Mytilus edulis: one gene and its partner. The protein of the gene in region 1 binds, or shares a complex with, the protein of each later gene. Links are inferred from orthologs where the notes say so. Each region holds a gene or a part of one and is shown in the gene's direction. Other genes may lie near its edges.

What was found.
Region 2: mediator of RNA polymerase II transcription subunit 4-like (region 1) and mediator of RNA polymerase II transcription subunit 8-B-like share a complex: the UniProt entries of both Caenorhabditis elegans proteins name them as parts of the mediator complex. The link is inferred for Mytilus edulis from reciprocal best matches to the Caenorhabditis elegans genes mdt-4 and mdt-8.

The regions. Positions count from the first base shown.
Region 1 is NC_092346.1:52,328,866-52,332,627, reverse strand, and holds the start of mediator of RNA polymerase II transcription subunit 4-like, read left to right. Parts: upstream 1-821; 5' UTR 822-922; coding exon 923-990; intron 991-3,762. Other genes in the region: eukaryotic translation initiation factor 4E type 2-like, read right to left, coding at 776-795. UniProt on the Caenorhabditis elegans protein: Component of the Mediator complex, a coactivator involved in the regulated transcription of nearly all RNA polymerase II-dependent genes.
Region 2 is NC_092344.1:62,054,016-62,057,777, reverse strand, and holds the start of mediator of RNA polymerase II transcription subunit 8-B-like, read left to right. Parts: upstream 1-1,501; 5' UTR 1,502-1,516; coding exon 1,517-1,534; intron 1,535-2,189; coding exon 2,190-2,308; intron 2,309-2,913; coding exon 2,914-3,058; intron 3,059-3,762. Other genes in the region: nuclear transcription factor Y subunit gamma-like, read right to left, coding at 843-857. UniProt on the Caenorhabditis elegans protein: Component of the Mediator complex, a coactivator involved in the regulated transcription of nearly all RNA polymerase II-dependent genes.

The DNA.
Region 1 (3,762 bases):
TATAGCATATTATATATGTATAATTCATCTGAAATTGAATACAAACGATGTGTTGTCATACAATGTCATAGTGACAGATATGACATCTCAAAATTTTTAAAATGTTTTCTAAAATATTCATCGCGACATGAAACACACAACATTAATTCTGAAATGCACTTTATGGTGACACAGGCATAATTAATGACACAATGTATCATGCAAAACTTTAGTCCAAATAATTATGACGTCTTGAAAGGCTATTATATTATTTTTATTTGACGCCTTACTTCGACAAACTTGGGCTTGTTGTACATTGTACATGTCTGACAAAGCACTGGATTTATCTCAGCTTGAAAGGCTGTCCTACAATTTCATTCATTGTAACAGTAATGTAAATGTACAGTGCTAGCTTATCAGGATACTGTAAAGTCTAGGTCTGGTCTAAACAGCTGTTGACACATATTTTTGATTCAAAGTTGACTTTTTTTTTTTAAATTATACACACGAAGAAACAAAAGTACCATGGTCGGATTTTATGATACCTTAAAGAAAAATAATAATTGCAGTTTTCATTAGTTTCGCTAATAAATGTAACCTGTTCATCTTGGACTTGGTGACTATTCATAAGTTGCACGTGTTTGGGCAAATTGATGACGTCAAAATTATGCCTTTTGCCGAACAAAAATTGACCCTACGGAAAAATGTGTCAATGGATTGGCTAGGTGTCATGCGATTTACTTAAAGATCTTTAAATATAATTGGTCAATTATGAATGTATGCATGTTTTACGTACGCATCAAATTTGTTGTTCATGATGAGTTTGTTTTGATTTTATTGACATTCACTTCCGGTTTCCTTTTCTTGTATGTGAAAGTGTATTCGATTGGTTCATAAATGTTTCCTACTCTATCAGCATAATTTATTGGTCGAATAATTCAGCATGGCTTCCTCCATCAGCACCAAACAAAAACTTTTACAACAAATTGATGATGTTGAGTTGATATCTAAGTAATTTCACTAATAGTATTACTGTCATTTCACATATTTGAAACACCAAATGAAATGCATGGTCTAGACCATATAAAAATGACAACTTTAGTTTTTTTTCCTACCCAACTTGTGAAACCTGGAAAACTGCCATGACTGTTATTGTCTTTTCTGTCTGCACTAATTATATTAAAACAATAAAAGTGGAGGGGAAAAAGTGAAAGGGTTACCAATTTTAACAAGGATATTGCTGATCTTTATTATATAAATCCTTGATTTTACCACATACTGTAGACATTTAATTATTTTATTTACTAATCAGATGTTGTGAAGGATGCAGGTCGTTTTGTAGTCCTAATAATTATGACGTCTTGAAAGGCTATTATATTTTTTTTCTTTGACGGTTTCGTAACTAGTCGATTCCTAACTTACTAGGTTGTTTAGTACCTGTGATGTTTTGTAACCTAAGAAAACTGTTATATCAATATGTAGGACTCTAAAGTGCGATGGGGACGCTTAAGTGCGATGGTCACGCTAAAGTACGATGGTGTACGCTAAAGTGCGATGCCATGACACGATAAAGTGCATTTTTCCATGAATGCGTGTTTGTTCGCGAAAGTGTGAATGTTTGCATTATGACGCTTGAAGCCAATTTGAACATACAAAAATTGACATGCCGGTAAACAAGAATATTTGTGGCTCCCTATGAAGGTTTTTTACAAGACAAAAAAAAAGAGATATAAATGAAACAAAACACTTTTAGTAGGTGATATAGAAGACTGTATGCAGAGGATTTTTTTCCAACAAAATCACCCACCGTACAAAACCTTTCAACTCGCTGTGTTTTCCCATCAACATAGAAAACTGATGACAGTAAGGGGAAGGTGCTTACCGTAAAAGAGAGAAAAAGTCAAAATACACCAAGTGTCAAAGTATTTCAATTCGTTCAAATTTAATTTAGAAACTCCTTCTATGTTTATAATCGAACTTGCTTGGAATAAAAGCTACTTTTTAAATTTCTAATTGAGTTATTCTATAACCTGAATATTTTTGTACAATATGTATTGTCATGTCTGTGAAAGAGATGGATATTCATCAACAAGATAGTGACATACCAAGCAGTTATGAAGTATCATCATATGATTGCCGATGACACAAGTCTAGATCTAAACTGGAATCGTATGGCTAACCCAGCAGATAAATAGTAGATTTATGACTAAAGGTTTTCAGAACGACCATTGCAAAATAATTGATATGAGAAAAATAACGGACTGATTTATACAGAAAAAAATCAATTAACAAACAAAAAAACAAATAAGAAGATGCCAATGAAACAATTATTCACCAAACACAAAATGTTGCAGATGTGCGCACTTAATAACTTATGATCCAAGGCGTGGAGTATCGGCTCTAGTCGAATAGCTAGTTATATAAACCACACAATAACTCGTGTACAACAATTCAAAAGAGAAAAACAACGGCATAATTTATAAACAATATACAAAAACTAATATTAACACCGCAAAAAACAAAAGACATTGCCTGAACACCATTCCAGTTACACCATCGCACTTTAGCGTGGCATACCATCGCACTTTAGCATGTCATCTGATCTCATTTAAAAACAAACAACCATTGCACTTTAGCGTCTGACACCAATGCACTTTAGCGTAGACCATCGCACTTTAGCGTGACCATCGTACTTTAGAGTACCATCGCACTTTAGAGTCCTACAAATATATAATAATATGAGTCGTAGGTTACTAAAAAAATAATGAAAAGACCTATTGATGTACATATATATCTATATTTATTTATTAAATAATTGATTGCACATAATTTTACACTTTACAATTACAGTTTTGCACACATGCGATAGAACAGAAGAATTTAAATTGTCCATCATTTAGATGTACCCCGTCTTTGTCAAAGTATTTAGTCTTCTGCCACGTGCTTTGATGTCTCCAATACTTACACCACTCATCTTTATGTTGCCGACTTTCTTATATTAATATTTTTTTTTCTATCATAAGTTGTTTCTTTCATGTTTCTTGTTTTTTGTATATGGACCAACTGCTGCTGCTGCTCTGGTCAACTAAGACTTGTTTCATGTTTATACCAGGGTTTTTCAGATGAAAAATAAGGCTTTATGCCAGTATAACATGCAATCAAAGAACAACATAGTGATGTCTCTGAGAGAAAGTAAAAGGAATAGAGTAAAATAAGAGTTATAAAAAAATCAAATAAAAACTTTAACTCCGTCAACGCCGGTCCCAAGTCTGGGTGAAAAAGGAGGAGGGTTATGCATTGGCATGTTAAAGTGAGAAAAAAGTAGAAAATAATTATTTTTAGGTCGTGTGCCATAGGTCATGTGTCATTAATCAACTTAATCACTTTACACGTACCATAATTACTTTTTATTAACTGTCATTAGTTGTCATAAAAACATTAAAGCTGTCACTGAGCGTACCAATTAACCAATAATTTAAAAGATTTAAGAAAGTTTTAAATTAAAAACATTACAATATTGTTATTATTGGATGAACAATTTGATCATTTATAAATAATAACTTTAACTGTTTCATTTAAGGAGGTACCTAACACTTTAACTAAAATTAATTTGGCTCGTTTAATTTTCTTTAAATTTTGACAAAGTGTTTACTTTGACCCTTTGACAAAAATATAAGAAATTCAAAAAATTTGAACCAACCGTTTAATCAGAAAAATTACACTGGTTATATAGCAGTTTGACAAACACTTATTTTGATCAATGAGAAGCTTAATATTCCCATA
Region 2 (3,762 bases), on another chromosome or scaffold:
ATTTTCAACACACACTTTATCACTTTTTTTTATACTTTTATTCAAAGGTATTTATAAAATTTTATTGATGTTACTTACTTCAAATTTTGAGGTATGCCTATGTCAAACATGAAAGCAATATGACATGAAAATTGTAAATTATGATTTTATAAAATATTTGTTACCATTTAAAACTTAAATGCAAAGATTTAAATTTAAAGTGTTAATTTTAATTTTAGAGGAAAAACAGGGAGACAACTCAAATTTCTTTTTCATATTCCCTAAATAAGTTTTTTTTTAAAATAAATATAATATATATAAATATATTATTATGCAATTATTATGAGATGAGAAAGACATTCCAAGATGAGGAGTCAGTAGACACCATTAGCCTATTTAAGGACTACAGGATAAAGCTACATGTAAAGGTATAAAGGGTAAAATGGTAAATTATATCTTTTTTTAAATTTCCAAACATAAAATGAATGAAGAATTATTTTTGCATTTTAAACAATCTTGTATAAAATACATTTTAATACCCAAGTCTAGATGCAGATTTGGTGGTGGTGGTGGGAGGGGTGGACTCCCCCCTTTTTGTGGTAAATTGGTTGATTCTACAGGGAAACACTGTATGAGGCATGACTTGAGCGGCCATCTGAGGCAGTCAGTGGCCCCAACCCCTTATGAAAAATTCTGGATCCACCGCTGAAGTGTCTAGCCTAAATTGAGTGACATTTATTCATATCAAAGCATTTTTTTTCTATATTTCACAAATATATGCATGAAAAAGAGGGAAAGGGGGTAGTTCTTGTACAAAAATGAGAATAATATTAAATATAAATACATGTATATCAATGTCTTACTTTGATCAGTCTCATTCTGCATAGTTCCAATATTAACTGAGACAACACCAAAGGTTGATAAAATTATGGGAAATTCATTTTCAGAATTTGTTTTTGTAGTAACATTCTAAAAATAGAAAGCAATTCAAGGAAGCCATTTTTGTTCTGTCCGTGAGGGGATATTTGTCAACACATGACTGTCGATCACAGAGAGTTTATTTGGAGAAACATTTTATTTCATTTATAAATTGCTACTTCTTTGATACAGGGAAATGTTTGTAAATTATCATTGGAGATTGGGTCGAAGAGTGGACCAATAAATTGGTCGGGAATCGACACCCAATCAACACTGACCTACCCACCAATGAGAACAAAGAATTATTCAATGAAACAAGGTGCGCGGATTGGTTCAAAGTAGCTTCATGTAGAACCTGGAAGTGTATGGGTTTCAAAACAGTTACCTTTCAGCCTTGAATATTCTTGATATAAATTTTATATAATAAAATTCTGTCTTTTCAGATCCTTCAAAATAATGGCTGATATGCGATTTGGTAAATTCTTCCGATTGCGCATGCGTGAATTCGGTATTGTATTTCCGGTTTAAAAATCAAGAAACTATTATAAAGAAAAACAAAAATGCAGGTTAAAAACTAATTTTATAGAGTGTGTTTTGAGGAAACAGTTATAAAGAAGGCATGCACCTGTTGGAAGAGGTGCATAGTTATCCCTGAAGGATTTTTGGAGTTAAAAAAAAAGTTTTAAAAGAAAACTTCACGTTTATTATGTTTATGCTGTTCATTTTATCATGTATACAAAGTGCATGTGTTTGACAGCAAAAATACTATTAGTATCTTTCTCATGGTCTTCTTTCAGTTTCCATCATATTATATTTATATATTATAATTTTATAATGCTTTCATTGGTAAATTAACTAGAAAGTTGACTTTGTCAATCTTGTCTGCCTTGTTTGTTGTGGTCTTCATTTTTTTCACCTTGGCTGTTAAACTTTTACACTTATTGAAAATAATTTTGACAGTTTAATAATTCTATGTCACCCTCTTGATTGTGATAGTCTAAAAATAGAAAATTTATGTACATTGTATCCTTAAAAGGATGCTTTCGAATTCGGCATCTACACTGATGTGCCAAATGGATACATTCAGCATGCCCACAAGGATGTAAAAAGGATACATGAAAGGGTTAAATTATCATAAGAGTACATACATTTTGTGAAATTAAAATTAGTGTTAGGCTAAGACCAGAAAATGGCTGAATATGTTTATTCTGAAAAGACCGGTTTTACTAGCTTTACAAATTTACTACCATGACTACAACTACAATGTACATATTTCATTTGATTTTTTCCAGAAAGAAGAAAAGCAATTAGAAGCCACTGTAGATGCCTTGATCCACAGAGTTCAGGATATCAAAAATTCCATTGCATCGTTTCTCTTTAAGCTTGAAAATGAATATCAAACATTGAATTGGTAGGACATTATGTTTTAATGGTTAATATGCTCCTTTAGACAACAGACAAAGTGTGGACACATGATCATACTGATATAAACACTGAGTTATGCATAATACAATTCTTAACACAACTCAGAAATTGCAAAGGAGCTGGATAGTTCAATGAACAGATGAAAGAACAGACAATAAGAATCAAGCACAAAAAGATCACAAGACCAGGGAATCTCAAAATAAGATGCATTTTCTTTGACAAATATTTTATTAAAATTTCAAAACTGTTTTGTACAATTACCATGTTTACCATCTGGCAAATGTAAACATGATGTGGCAGAATAAAATTAAAAAAACATGTACAAAAAATAACAAACTTTGATATATTAGACATTGTAAATGAGCTAAAATTATTATAGAAGTTACTTGTAAATAATGAATTGTACTTGACTATAGCCATGATAGCTATATGTCATTTTTTTTTTATTGAAGTATAAATTCTTACCTTAAAAGCTACTATCTGCTTAAACCTTTTATCATGATAATGATTAAAAATTCGATATGTTCTTTCTTTTAATCAGAGAGCATGTTCATGTAGTTAATGTCTTAAAATATCCCTTCTTGTTTTCAGGCCATCTGTGCTGGATAATTTTGCTCTGATATCTGGTCAGCTAAATAGTCTTGGTAAAGTCCTGAAAAATGACAGATCACCACATCTTCGAAATCATCTCTTGTTACCGCTGGCACTGAGACCTGATAGAGATGCTGAACTTGAGGTACTGAAAAGATAAATCATACATTATTTTATGATCTAATAGATATAAGAAGATGTGGTATGTGTGCCAATGAGACAACTCTCTATCCAAGTCACAATTTATAAAAGTAAACCATTATAGGTAAAATTAAGGTGTTCAACACGGAGCCTTGGCTTGCACTGAACAACAAGCTATCAAGGCCTCCAAAAATTTCTAGTGTGAAACCTTTTAAATGGGAAAACCAACGGTCTAATCTATATAAAAAACATGAAACGAGAAACACTTATGTTATGAACCAAATCAACAAACGACAACTACTTAACATCAGATTCATGAGGTGCAAACAATTTCAGTGGGTTTAATTGTTTACATGGTACCAAACCTTCACCCTTATCTGAAACAATAGTGTAACATCACAACACAGAAAGACACAATATAAGATATCAATTGAAATTTGAAATGGCTGAACACGACATATTAACATGTGTGAACATACAATGAAAGAATAAATTTGATCTATGATTTAAGTATGACTTATTGTATATTCAATAAACATGAATAAACTTCAGGAAGGGACTTTTCACTTAAGTTAAACTTTTCAATTATGGTAACTTTAATGTTTATAATTATATAAGGTGTTTATAAAAATCAAAATACTCGCAAATCTTCAAATTCAGAGAAGAAGTAAAAACCAGCTTGCACCTGTGTGTTTATGTCATCTGTGA